3 linked regions of the Cricetulus griseus genome follow. The protein of the gene in region 2 binds, or shares a complex with, the protein of the main gene of each other region. Links are inferred from orthologs where the notes say so. Each region holds a gene or a part of one and is shown on either strand. Other genes may lie near its edges.

Region 1 (3,516 bases), on a different chromosome or scaffold from region 2:
TGTGTGTGTGTGTGTGTGTGTGTGTGTGTGTGTGTGTGTGTGTGCTTTTGTTCCGCTGGTGGAAAAAGGCATGGAAGACAGGTTAAAAAAACAAAACAAAAAACAAAAGCACTCTTTTGCAACCCAGAACTCATTGTTCAGTATTAGTTTTTATAGATACAAGAATGGCATATGATAGTAAGGCAGCTATCTCAAAGTGATGGTGTGGGTCACACGCTCCCATAGTGGATCCTGTTGCTGGTGAGTGTCCTTTGGTCTCCTGCATGCATGAGCAGAGCATACTCCTGTGAGACTGCATGGCTGTCCACCCCTCATCTGAACTCTGCATACCATTCAGGACTTCACCAGAGTCTTGGAAGGATCGTGCATCACAAAGGAACCCAGAATGCATTCCTCTATAGCCACCCCTCCTGGAGTCCCACCTTGCATATGGTGAAGGTGCGTTGCTTTATCTACTGTGTGATGGTCCTTATTTGTGCCTTTACATTATAAGCCATTTTATACATTTGAAAAAGAAAGAAAATAAGTATGGGGTATGACTTGGCTTCACTGGGTTAGGGGACTCTGGGCAGTCTTAGTGATTTAGAAGGATATATTAGGCAGGTTTGGTGGAAGGCACAAAACCAAGGGGAGATAGCCAAAGCAAAAGCTGGAATATTTCAATTAAGAAAGGAAACATGGTAGCACTTTTGGTGACCCCAAGTGGGAGGCTACCATGGGTGCCAGGCCATAAACCACAGAGACCATAGGGCCTGTGGGATGAGGTTCTGGGTTGGCTGTGATAGATAAACTGCAGACATACAGGCAACAGAGACAGCAGCTGGCCATAAACATGGTGAATAGGACATGGCCCACAGTGCAGAAGAACCAGTGACCTGGACGGCAAGGGGGCTTGTTACAAGCAAGTAACAGGTGGAGGGAAAAATACACCACAGAAGTCAGGAAGCCTTGAACTTACCCAGTATGCTCGACTCATCTATCTAGACTGAAGTGCTAATTAATCCTTCCTCCCTCCCTTTTCCTCCTTTTTTGAGATAGGATCTCTGAAGCCTTGGCTAGTCTCTAATTCAAGGCAATTCTCCTGCCTCAGATTCCCAAGTCCTGATTATAGACATGAGCCACCACACTGGGCTAAAAAGCTATTTCATTCCTCAGTGCTAATCAGAATATGAAAATTCACATATGTATTTATTTCAAAAGCAGTACTTAAAAGCTCCAAGTGCTATTTGTTGCAGGTAGGTGTTATATATACCTCCACCCCGTTTATTAAGCCAAAAAAACTTCAAGAATTTCAAGTTCATGAATTTAGCTTAACCGGGTGGACAAAGAAGGGGACAGCATGGTTCTCAGTGACATCTCCTGTACAGTAAGTATATGCACTGTTGTATGAAGGCTTTCCTCCCACATTTCTGCATAAGAGCCTCTGGATTCTCCAAGGTGGCTGGCTGGGTTAGCATCCAGGCTCTGAGGGTTGGTGCTTTGTTGCGCAGGTGGTGGAGTCAAGCTTCTAGGTCCCTCTCTTGCAGGTCTCCATGAGCAAGCACCTTGTGAGGCCAGGTGAGCTGAGCAGTCTGAAGGTGGGCAGTCTGCTTAAGGAGGAACCCCGTTCCACATCAACTACCCTAAGTAAGATTAACTGCTACAGTGCATAAGGGATGGTGAGTCCTTGAGGATACCCTAAGGGGCTTCCTCTGGGAGTTTGCCCCAGGAAGAAGCCGTCTGGCCACACTGCCTTGTATTACATCTCTAAAAGCTGCTCCATTTCCTCCAGGACTACTGTGAAGTCACTGGCTTGGTCCTTACATCCGTTTTGCTGCTCCAGGAACTGGAGCCTTTCTTCTTCTTTCAACTTCAACTTCACCTTCAAGGCCTGAAAGGGAAGGCATTCCAAAGGAAACCCACAACAAAACTCTGGCCTCACAGAAGGATAGCACTTGGACCAGAGTGTCACATCTGTGCGGCAGAGAGCAAGACCAGCCAGTGCCAGACATCCAATTCCCTACCTTGGGAATTACTTGGGCAATTTTTTCACTCCTGTGTTTAAACTGGAGTATTGAAATCCTGTGTCTCCTGCCCCATGGTTTCTCTAGGCAACCTAAAGCCACCCAGGCCCAGTTTATTTTTAAAACAGGGTCTCACCATGTAGACTAGCCTTACAGAGATCCTCCTACCCCCTATGATAAAAGGTGTGTGCTACCATGCCTGGCTTCTTATTATTTTTCTGTGTGTGTGTGTCTGTCTGTGTGTGTGTATGTGTGTCTGTATGTCTATGTCTGTCTGTGTGCATCTGTGTCTGCCTGTGTGTGTGTGTGTATGTGTGTGTGTGTGCACTCGCGTGAATGCTTTGGATGCCTGTAGAGAGGAGAAAAGGGCATCAGATCCCTAGAGTTGGAGCTATGGAGTTATGAGCTCTGGGAAGCAGAACCTGGGACCACTGCAGGAGCAGCAGGCACTCTCAACTGTGAGCTGTCCCTCTCGCCCTGGAATCCGGATGTTTTGCTCAGGTCTCTTTACATCTTGACATAAGCTTTCTAGCATGGATTTCACATAGTCTCAACTTTGAGCAGCCTACTGTGTGGACCACTGGAGGTATGGATTTCCCCCCTCTCCGCACCAGCTTTATCCCTGGGAACATTTCTGGATCCTCAGGAACATAAAAAGAAAAACTTGCAGAGGAAAAGCATCCAAAACAGAAACTGATTCAGTAAAAACTCCAGGAATTTAGTTAACAATGACACACCAGTATTGGTTTCTTACTGGTGACAAATGTGTGAGGATTTGTGAGGTGTTATCCTTAGGGGAGCTATGCAACTTTTCTATACATCTAAAATTATTTAGAAAATGGGTTTTTGCTTGGTTTGGTTTTTAGAGTCAGGGTTTCTCTGTGTAACAGCTCTAGCTGTTTTGGAACTAGCTCTGTAGACAAGGCTGGCCTCTGTCTCCCAAGTGCTGGGATTAAAGGTGTTCAACACCCCAACATGGCTTAAAAATAGTGTATTAAAAACAAACTAGGAGCCAATCATGGGGACAGATGAAATAGCTCAGTGGGTAAAGGTACTTGCCACCAAGCCTGAGGACCTGAGTTTGAGTCCCATATGCTGTGGCATGTATGGACCCACAAACATTTATACATACATACTATACACACACTCACACATAACAAATAATATAAAGGCAGAGGGAACTGGAGATGTCTCTGCAGTTAAGTATCACCGCTCTTCCAGACAACTAGAATTCAGTTTTTAGTATCCATGTTAGTCAGCTCACAATTGCCTATAACTCTAGTTCCAGGGGATCTGAAGCCCTCTCATGTCTTCCATTGGTACCTGTACATACATGACATAATTCACAGTGACACATACTCATGAATAAAAATAAATGTTAAAAACAAAAAAAAAGCCGCCGGGTGGTGGTGGTGCACACCTTTAATCCCAGCACTGGGGAGGCAGAGGCAGGTGGATCTCTGAGTTTGAGACCAGCCTGGTTTACAAGAGCTAGTTCCAGGTTAAAAAAAAA
Region 2 (3,982 bases):
TCATTGTCTAGAGGAAGGGAGCTGGGCTGGATTCACTGACTCAGAACGGATGAGGCTGATCTCCAAGTCTGCTCAGTCTCATAGAAGCCAATGGCTGGGATAAGCCCTCAGAAGAATGCAGGTGACAACACTGAATACCAAGCGCTAGAGATTCCCCAGCTCTGGCCTGCAGTAATAGAGGACTCCTCAAGAACCGCAGAGGCCACTGCTATCTGCCACAGGCACAAGCACCATGATGGAGCTTCTGCCTACCATGAACCTTTCTGCTGATCTGATTCTCCCATCAGCACTCATCAGTGTTTCCAAAGCTTTACTGAAAGTCAGCCAGGGATTTTATTAGACCCAGGTCCAGAACTGAGATTTCCACATCCTAACAAACCCTCAGAGGTATTGATGGTTTGGGTTAGTGCATGCTTTTAGTAAGCAGCAAGGAGCTGGAGGAAGAAGTGTAGACACATTTGGTCCCTTCCCTGGACCATAAGTCCAAGCTACAGGAATGCTATAGATTGATAAATAAGGAAAAGGGGCTTCATGTGGGATCCAGAGGGAAAGGTCAACTGGATGAAATGCCTCAGAAAATCCTGTTGAGACCCAATAGCTCCTGAGTCCATTCCCAACTTACATGATACACCCAATGGACCACACATCCACCTCAAAACTGTGTCCCTTCTTGCTCAGCACCTCGGGAGCTATGTAGTTAGGAGTGCCACATAAGGTCTTCTTTCGTTCACCTTCATATTCCACTTTGGTTGCCAGCCCAAAGTCCCCTGGGACAGAGGGAAGAAGAGAGGTGATTAGCTGCTAGGCCATCTTGTGGCTGCAGACAACTGCCTCAGGACTGACCATAGAGAGCCAGTGCCTCAAGACTCCAGTCTCTGTTCCCGAACCTTCCCACTGCCCTTTACACTCCTCTTTAGATAGCAGGGCTAGGGAAGTAAGATGGCTCAGTAGGTACAGGTGCTTGCCGCTAAGACTAACAACTTGAGTTGACCCTGGAACCCACAATGGAAGAACAGAACTGACTCCAGAAAGTTACCTTCTATCTCGAACCCCACATATATGAAATTTAAAATACATAGGATAGCAGAATTGGATGCACTAGGGAATCAAGTAAATATTCTTTGTGACTGTGACAAGTTTAAGAAAAGTGACAGGAGTATAGGGACTGAGGCAAATCAGAGTCTCAAGGGAAAAGGTGCTTTTCAGCTCAGTAAAGGGACAGCAAAACACTGGCCTGTGGGACACTTACTTTCCATTTCTGGACAAGAAGGCTTTCTGGAGGGCAGCACCTCCATTTCCCACCCACCTTCCACTTCTCTGGCTCCCATTCTCCCAGAGTTCCCCTCCTTGCCACCTCTTGTACTGGCACCAGACACCCGCAGGCCCAGCACCTCACCTATTTTCACCTCCAGATCCTCGTTCAGGAAGAGGTTGCCTAGCTTGAGGTCCCTGTGAATGACCTGATTTCGGTGCAGATACTGGCAGCCCAGGACTATCTGACGTAGATAGTAGCGTGCCTCGGGCTCGGTCAGCGCTTTCCTCCTCTTGTGCAGTTCCAGGAGAGACTGAGGAAGAGGGAAGAAGGTAGTTAAGCCCAAGGAAAAGGGTGGCCAGCTGGATGTGGCCAAGATTAAACCCTCGGGAGTAAAGTATAGACGGAAGTTTCCTATCCCGACCAGCCGATTCCAAATAACTACTCTGAGGCTTATATTAATTATAAATGCTCGGCCTATAGTACAGGCTTAGCTAACTCTTCCACTTATTAACCCATAATTCTTATGTCTTGGCAGGCTCCTAATGGTTCTGTCCATACACTGGTCAGGCCATTATCATTCACAGGACCCCTCTCCTGTTAACGAGTACCCTTACCCAGCGTCTTCTCTCAACCCCTTATTTAGGGGCTTCCTCCCAGCAGGAGACCCTCTCCTTTTCCTGAAAGCTGAGGTCTGACTCCAGACAGCCTCTCCTCCCTCCCCCACTCCAGACCCTGCCCCACTCCACTCCGGAAGTTCTAGGTCCGCGGCAGCCGTAGCTTGGGACCCTTGTTAATCACTTTAAACACCCATTTCCTGCACCTACTGGCAGTCTTGCGTGCAGGAGCCACCTTCCCTAATAATAGCAACAGGTCCCGGGTTCCGCTTGCCCTCAACCCCCGGCCTCAGCAGCTCGGAATGCCAAACACCCTCACCAGGAGCCCCTTCATAATTGCTTGAAACCCAAGCACTCCTCTAGGCCACTCCAAGGCGTCGATGCCTCTTTGCCAGCAAGTTCCCGGTGTGGTCGCCCCAACACCACAGCAGAAACACTCACCCTCCTGCGACAGAGCTCCAAAACCACAAACACAAAGTCGCTGTCCTCAAAAAAGCCGTGGAAGCCTACGACGTGTTGGTGTGCGAGGCTGCGGTGGATAGAAATCTCCATAGACATCTTTTCCTTTTGGTGGGGCTTGAGAAGTAAAGACTTCGGCACGATCTTGCCTGCGAACACCTCCTTTGTGTCTGCATCCGAGATCTCGAAGCATTTGGCAAATCCTCCTTTACCCAGAAAGCGGCCCCGCACATACTGGCGCCGGCTGCGTGGGTCCACTAAGACCTCAGGAATCTCTTTCGACAGCGGGGCGGTCACTGGGGCACCGGTAGCTGCATCTCCAGGAACCCCAGCTTTCCCGAGATCGGCTGGTGCTCGAGCCAGCTTTTTGGCCGCTGCATTCATGCTCCTAAATTTGCTACGCGAACCTGGCCGGGCCGGTGCAGAGATCTTGCCCTGCTCCGCTCCTCCCCGAATTCAAACGCAGCGCTGGGAACGTTACAAGGACCTGCGCGTTGTTGATTGGCCGCGGGGATTTAAAATACAAACCCGCCCAGCGCGCGGCACCATGGGAGTGCTCTACGGCGCAGCCGCTTTTAAACCCCCGATCTTGTGAGGAGAAACTTGATGGGCTGGGACTTAAGGATTAAATGCACGTGGGATACCCTGGGAAACTAGGAGCGGATGGAATACGCGGAAATACCCAGGGGACAGAATTCGGTCCGGCTTTCTGCTCCTCGGCCAGAGAATGCTCCTGTGGTTCATGCCCCTCCTCCAGAGGCTTCTCCAGTTAGGACCTAACTAACACCTTCCTCCACTCCTCCTGGCCTTCTAGATCTGAAACTCCAGGCCTAGAGGTAGCTTGGCAGTGCACCGCCTTCGCCCTCGACTGCCGTCTCCCTGGCTAGTCTATATAAACCCAAACCTGAACAAACCCAGCATGTCTGGCAGGCAAAAGGAAGCTCTGTGGCAACCACTCCCGGAGCCCGAATTGAAAGGAGCTCTAGACTTCTCCAGTAAAACCCAGGGGTCAGCAGTATCTGCAACACCCAGGAACTCCTTAAGAAGGAGCGTGGGTTCAAGATTGCAAGTTAGCCTAAGGCCAGCCTCAGCTACCAGGCAACATTCCTTCCCCCCTACCCTCGAAGGAAAGAAACCGCCCAGGTCTGACCTGCAGGTCAAACAAGACTGTCAGGTGATTCCTACACAAGGTGATCCTAGAACTCGGGAGGCAGAGGCAGGCAGATCTCTGTGAGTTTGAGATCAGCCTAGTCTACAAGAGATAGTTCCAGGACAGTCTCCAAAGCCACAGAGAAACCCTGTCTCGAAAAACCCAAAAAAGAAAAGAAAAAAAGAAAAGCATCAGCTCTCTCCCCCCTCTCGCTGCGTTTGAATTCGGGGAGGAGAGGAGCAGAGCAAGATCTCTGCACCGGCCCGGCCAGGTTCGCGGAGCAAATTTAGGAGCATGAATGCAAGGTTACCTGGCTTGTCCTAAGTTGCTCCAAATAGAGAAAACTAGTTTTTTTAGTCAGAGGGAGGGATGGCTGGTTGGAGAGTGCTAGCAAAGTAGCAGGGCCAAATCTGCCCAGCAGGGGTGTTTGTTGGCCTTCATTTAAAAAAAAAAAAAAAAAAATTTACAACACTTAAAAGGAATGGCCACACAGTGCAGGTGAGT
Region 3 (3,516 bases), on a different chromosome or scaffold from region 2:
ACAGGCCCAGTAAGTAAGCTAGGAAGTACCTGTTATGTTTGAACGGAAAGGATGCCAGGCCTGGAGAGACAGTTAAGAGTACATACTTTTCTTGCAGAGAACTAGAGTTCAGTTTTCAGCACCCACAACTGGCAGCTCACAACTTCCTGTAACTTCAAGGGATCTGACATCCCTGTCCTCACTCATGCAGACACATATACATATACATACGTTAATAATAATAAAAATATTTTTTAAAAAAGAAGGTAAGGGCCAGGCGGTGGTGGTGCACACCTTTAATCCTAGCACTAGGGAGGCAGAGGCAGGCGGATCTCTGAGTTCAAGACCAGCATGGTATACAAAGAGAGTTCCAGGACAGACTCCAAAGCTACACAGAGAAACTCTGTCTTGATAAACTAGCAAAAAAAAAATGTGTGCTAATCACAAAAATTTTGGTTGTCAAGTCATAGGTAGAATTAAATATAAGAAAAAGGACAGTAGTAGCTAAAGGATTTAAGGTTTTGTTTTTTCATTTTAAATGAAAAATGTTGTTTTAGTGGGAGAGACTTAAGCACATCGCATGTTTGGGGAAAGGCAGTAGTGGGAAGCTGGGGTAGGACCAGAAGGTAGAGTGGAAGCTCACTCTGGGTGTGGCCCAGGAAAGGTGGCCCAGGACGTCACCCTCAAGTGCGGCTGAGCAGCTGATTATGTTATTTTTCTCCTTTGCCCTCAGGCTGAATCAGAGATCATTCTGCCCAGCACAGGTTGTGCTCCAGCCCAGGAACACCTTCTGCCTGATGATAGCACTGCTTCAGAAAAGGCCCTGACAGCAGTGGCAGATGAAGGTTAAAGACCTTGGGGTTTAAGGAGGGTGGCACAGATGCACACCACTAGGCTTGTCTGTCGTACCCCACTTCCACTGCTTCAGTCCCCTGGTTGGGCCACCAGAGAGACCTTCTCTATGCTTCATTTTTTTTTTTTTAAGATTTTATTTATTTATTTATTTATTATGTATACAACATTCTGCTTCCATGTATATCTGCACACCAGAAGAGGGCACCAGGTCTCATGACAGATGGTTGTGAGCCACCATGTGGTTGCTGGGAATTGAACTCAGGACCTCTGGAAGAGCAGTCAGTGCTCTTAACGTCTGAGCCATCTCTCCAGCCCCTATGCTTCACTTTTTTAAATTTTGTTTATTTGTTTGTTTGTTCATGTTCGATTGTTTTCCAGAGACGTGGTCTCATGTAGTTCACCATGGCCTTGAATTTCTAAGTTGATGAACATACATGGTTTATTTTTGCTTTAGAGCCAGAACCAGTTCCCGTCGTGCCATTGCTTGGAAGTGATAAGAGTGCTTTCACCCGAGTAGCATCAACGATTTCCTTTCAGCCTACAGGTTAGGATGGGCTCCAGGGACCACGAGCAAAGACAAAAGCAGAGAGAAGTACTTTGCTCTAAAAACCTCGATTCTACTTGGGCTTGTTTTATTCCTGTCTTTTGGGATCTGTGATGTTCCGGATATTACAGTCTTGTGGGTGGGGAACAAAACGTGGAAATGTGGTTGTGTAGCCCATCCTAGGCAGAAGGGCTGTATTTCTATCTAGGACTTCCTCTTTCAGAGACCCCAGGACTGGAGAAGAGCTCATCAGAAATGAGTACTATGTTACTAGAGCTTCAGAGCCTGTGTTCTCTGCTGCAGGAGTCTAAAGAAGAAGCCATTGGGGCCCTGCAGAGAAAAATGTGAGAGGTGTTGATGATAGGGGGTGATGAGAGCGCCCCTCATGCCAAGGGCTGAGTACAGGAATGATGCCGACTTCTTCCCTCCCATAGCTGTGAATTGCAGACTAGACTGCAGGACCAAGAGGAAGAGCATCAGGAAGCCCTGAAGGCAAAGGAGGCAGACATAGAGAAGCTGAACCAGGCCTTGTGCTTATGCTATAAGGTGAAGGAGGGACCTTAAAGTGGGGCGATGAAGAACTGGGGCGGCTCCACCAGCCCACTGGGAACCACTCTCTAGGAATCTAGGTAGTGGGGGTTTTCCAACTGCTGCCCTAGTTTTGCCCTTTTGGGGTCAGACATTTGATATCTGAGACTTTGCTCTGGGCCGACCTGTCACATTCAAGCAGACCCAGGAGAGAAGCCTAGAACTGAAGCAGAGCTCTGAACCAAGATATGCCATACTTGACTTGGCCCTGAAGAAAAATTGGACTGATATGAACTAATCCCCAAGGCTGAGCACAGCGAAGGCATTCTGTCCTGCCTTCTGGCAAGGGCTGCAAAAGTTAGCCTTTCCTCAGAGCTTTCTCTCCTCTTTTTTTCTTCACAGAATGAAAAGGAGCTCCAGGAAGTGATACAGAAGCAGAACGAGAAGATCTTAGGGCAGATAGACAAGAGTGGTGAGCTCATAGTAAGTTCCTAGTGATGTTGTGAGGCCTCTGCTTCTCCCACCTGATGGAGTAAAGAGAGAAAGGACCCCCGAGTGCTGTTGGATTACTCTGCTCTTGTTCCCAGAGTCTCAAGGAGGAGGTGACCCAGCTCACACGTTTACTGCGGCATGCAGAGACAGAGACGAAAGTGCTCCAGGAAGCTCTGGAGGGCCAGCTAGACCCCAGCTGTCAGCTGATGGCTACTAACTGGATCCAGGAAAAAGTCTCTCTCTCACAGGAGGTAACTCAAGTTAACCAAGGATCTGGGCACCTACTGGGGACCCCAGGCTGTGCCCCTATTAATGTGGACATATTTATAAGGTGGACAAGCTGAGGGCCATGTTCCTGGAGATGAAAAACGAGAAAGCAAAACTGGTGATCAAGTATCAGAGCCATGTAAGGAATTGTTTTCTTCCACCACAAGCAAGCACCCTGCCATGTTGCCCGTGTCTTCTCTAGCTATGGTCTTTTAAGTATAGGGCTTATGAAGCCTGTTTGTATTTTAGAGGAACATTCTTGAGGAGAACCTTCGGCGCTCTGACACTGAGTTAAAGAAACTGGATGACACTATCCAGTATATCTACGAGGTAAAAGTGAGGGAGGTACCAGGACCTGGCCGCAGAGAACTGAGGGGCTCAGCTCTGGTTCTCAGCCTGTGCTGGGAGCTAGGCCTGTCCTCTGCCAGTAGGTCTCCCTCCTCTAGCCTCACGGGCCAGGAGCTTTGGCTTCAGCCTTGTGATTCAGAGCTGTTTTCTCTGCCTCTTTCCAGACTCTGCTGTCTGTCCCAGAGGTAGTGAAGAGTTGCAAAGAACTACAAAGATTGCTGGAGTTTCTGAGCTAAGAAACTGAAAATATTGCACCTGCAGTTCCAGCTACTCCGGAGGCAGAGGCAGGAGGATTGCTTACTCCAAGAGTTTGAGACTAGAGTGGACAGCACGGCAAAGAAACTGAAGGCTGGATTCCACTTCATTCCCTTCAGGATCCCTTACCCCAGTAATAGGAATTGGCATATAGCCAACTGTTTTTATGTTATTTAAATAAAGTATATTTAATGTAGTTCTTACATCCACTGGATCTTATTTTGGGGGTAGGAGTGGGCAGATGAAAT

What was found.
Region 1: Plk1 (region 2) and Knstrn share a complex: the UniProt entries of both Homo sapiens proteins name them as parts of the astrin (SPAG5)-kinastrin (SKAP) complex. The link is inferred for Cricetulus griseus from reciprocal best matches to the Homo sapiens genes PLK1 and KNSTRN.
Region 3: Plk1 (region 2) and Spag5 share a complex: the UniProt entries of both Homo sapiens proteins name them as parts of the astrin (SPAG5)-kinastrin (SKAP) complex. The link is inferred for Cricetulus griseus from reciprocal best matches to the Homo sapiens genes PLK1 and SPAG5.

What each region holds. Positions count from the first base shown.
Region 1 is NC_048599.1:59,661,546-59,665,061, forward strand, and holds the end of Knstrn (small kinetochore-associated protein), read right to left. Parts: intron 1,871-3,516; coding exon 1,739-1,870; 3' UTR 131-1,738; downstream 1-130. UniProt on the Homo sapiens protein: Essential component of the mitotic spindle required for faithful chromosome segregation and progression into anaphase.
Region 2 is NC_048596.1:78,505,946-78,509,927, forward strand, and holds the start of Plk1 (serine/threonine-protein kinase PLK1), read right to left. Parts: upstream 2,803-3,982; 5' UTR 2,713-2,802; coding exon 2,311-2,712; intron 1,566-2,310; coding exon 1,397-1,565; intron 768-1,396; coding exon 623-767; intron 1-622. UniProt on the Homo sapiens protein: Serine/threonine-protein kinase that performs several important functions throughout M phase of the cell cycle, including the regulation of centrosome maturation and spindle assembly, the removal of cohesins from chromosome arms, the inactivation of anaphase-promoting complex/cyclosome (APC/C) inhibitors, and the regulation of mitotic exit and cytokinesis.
Region 3 is NC_048600.1:91,708,172-91,711,687, forward strand, and holds the end of Spag5 (sperm-associated antigen 5), read left to right. Parts: intron 1-712; coding exon 713-824; intron 825-1,288; coding exon 1,289-1,378; intron 1,379-1,601; coding exon 1,602-1,722; intron 1,723-1,812; coding exon 1,813-1,924; intron 1,925-2,308; coding exon 2,309-2,389; intron 2,390-2,493; coding exon 2,494-2,649; intron 2,650-2,729; coding exon 2,730-2,804; intron 2,805-2,914; coding exon 2,915-2,995; intron 2,996-3,177; coding exon 3,178-3,249; 3' UTR 3,250-3,464; downstream 3,465-3,516. UniProt on the Homo sapiens protein: Essential component of the mitotic spindle required for normal chromosome segregation and progression into anaphase. Required for chromosome alignment, normal timing of sister chromatid segregation, and maintenance of spindle pole architecture.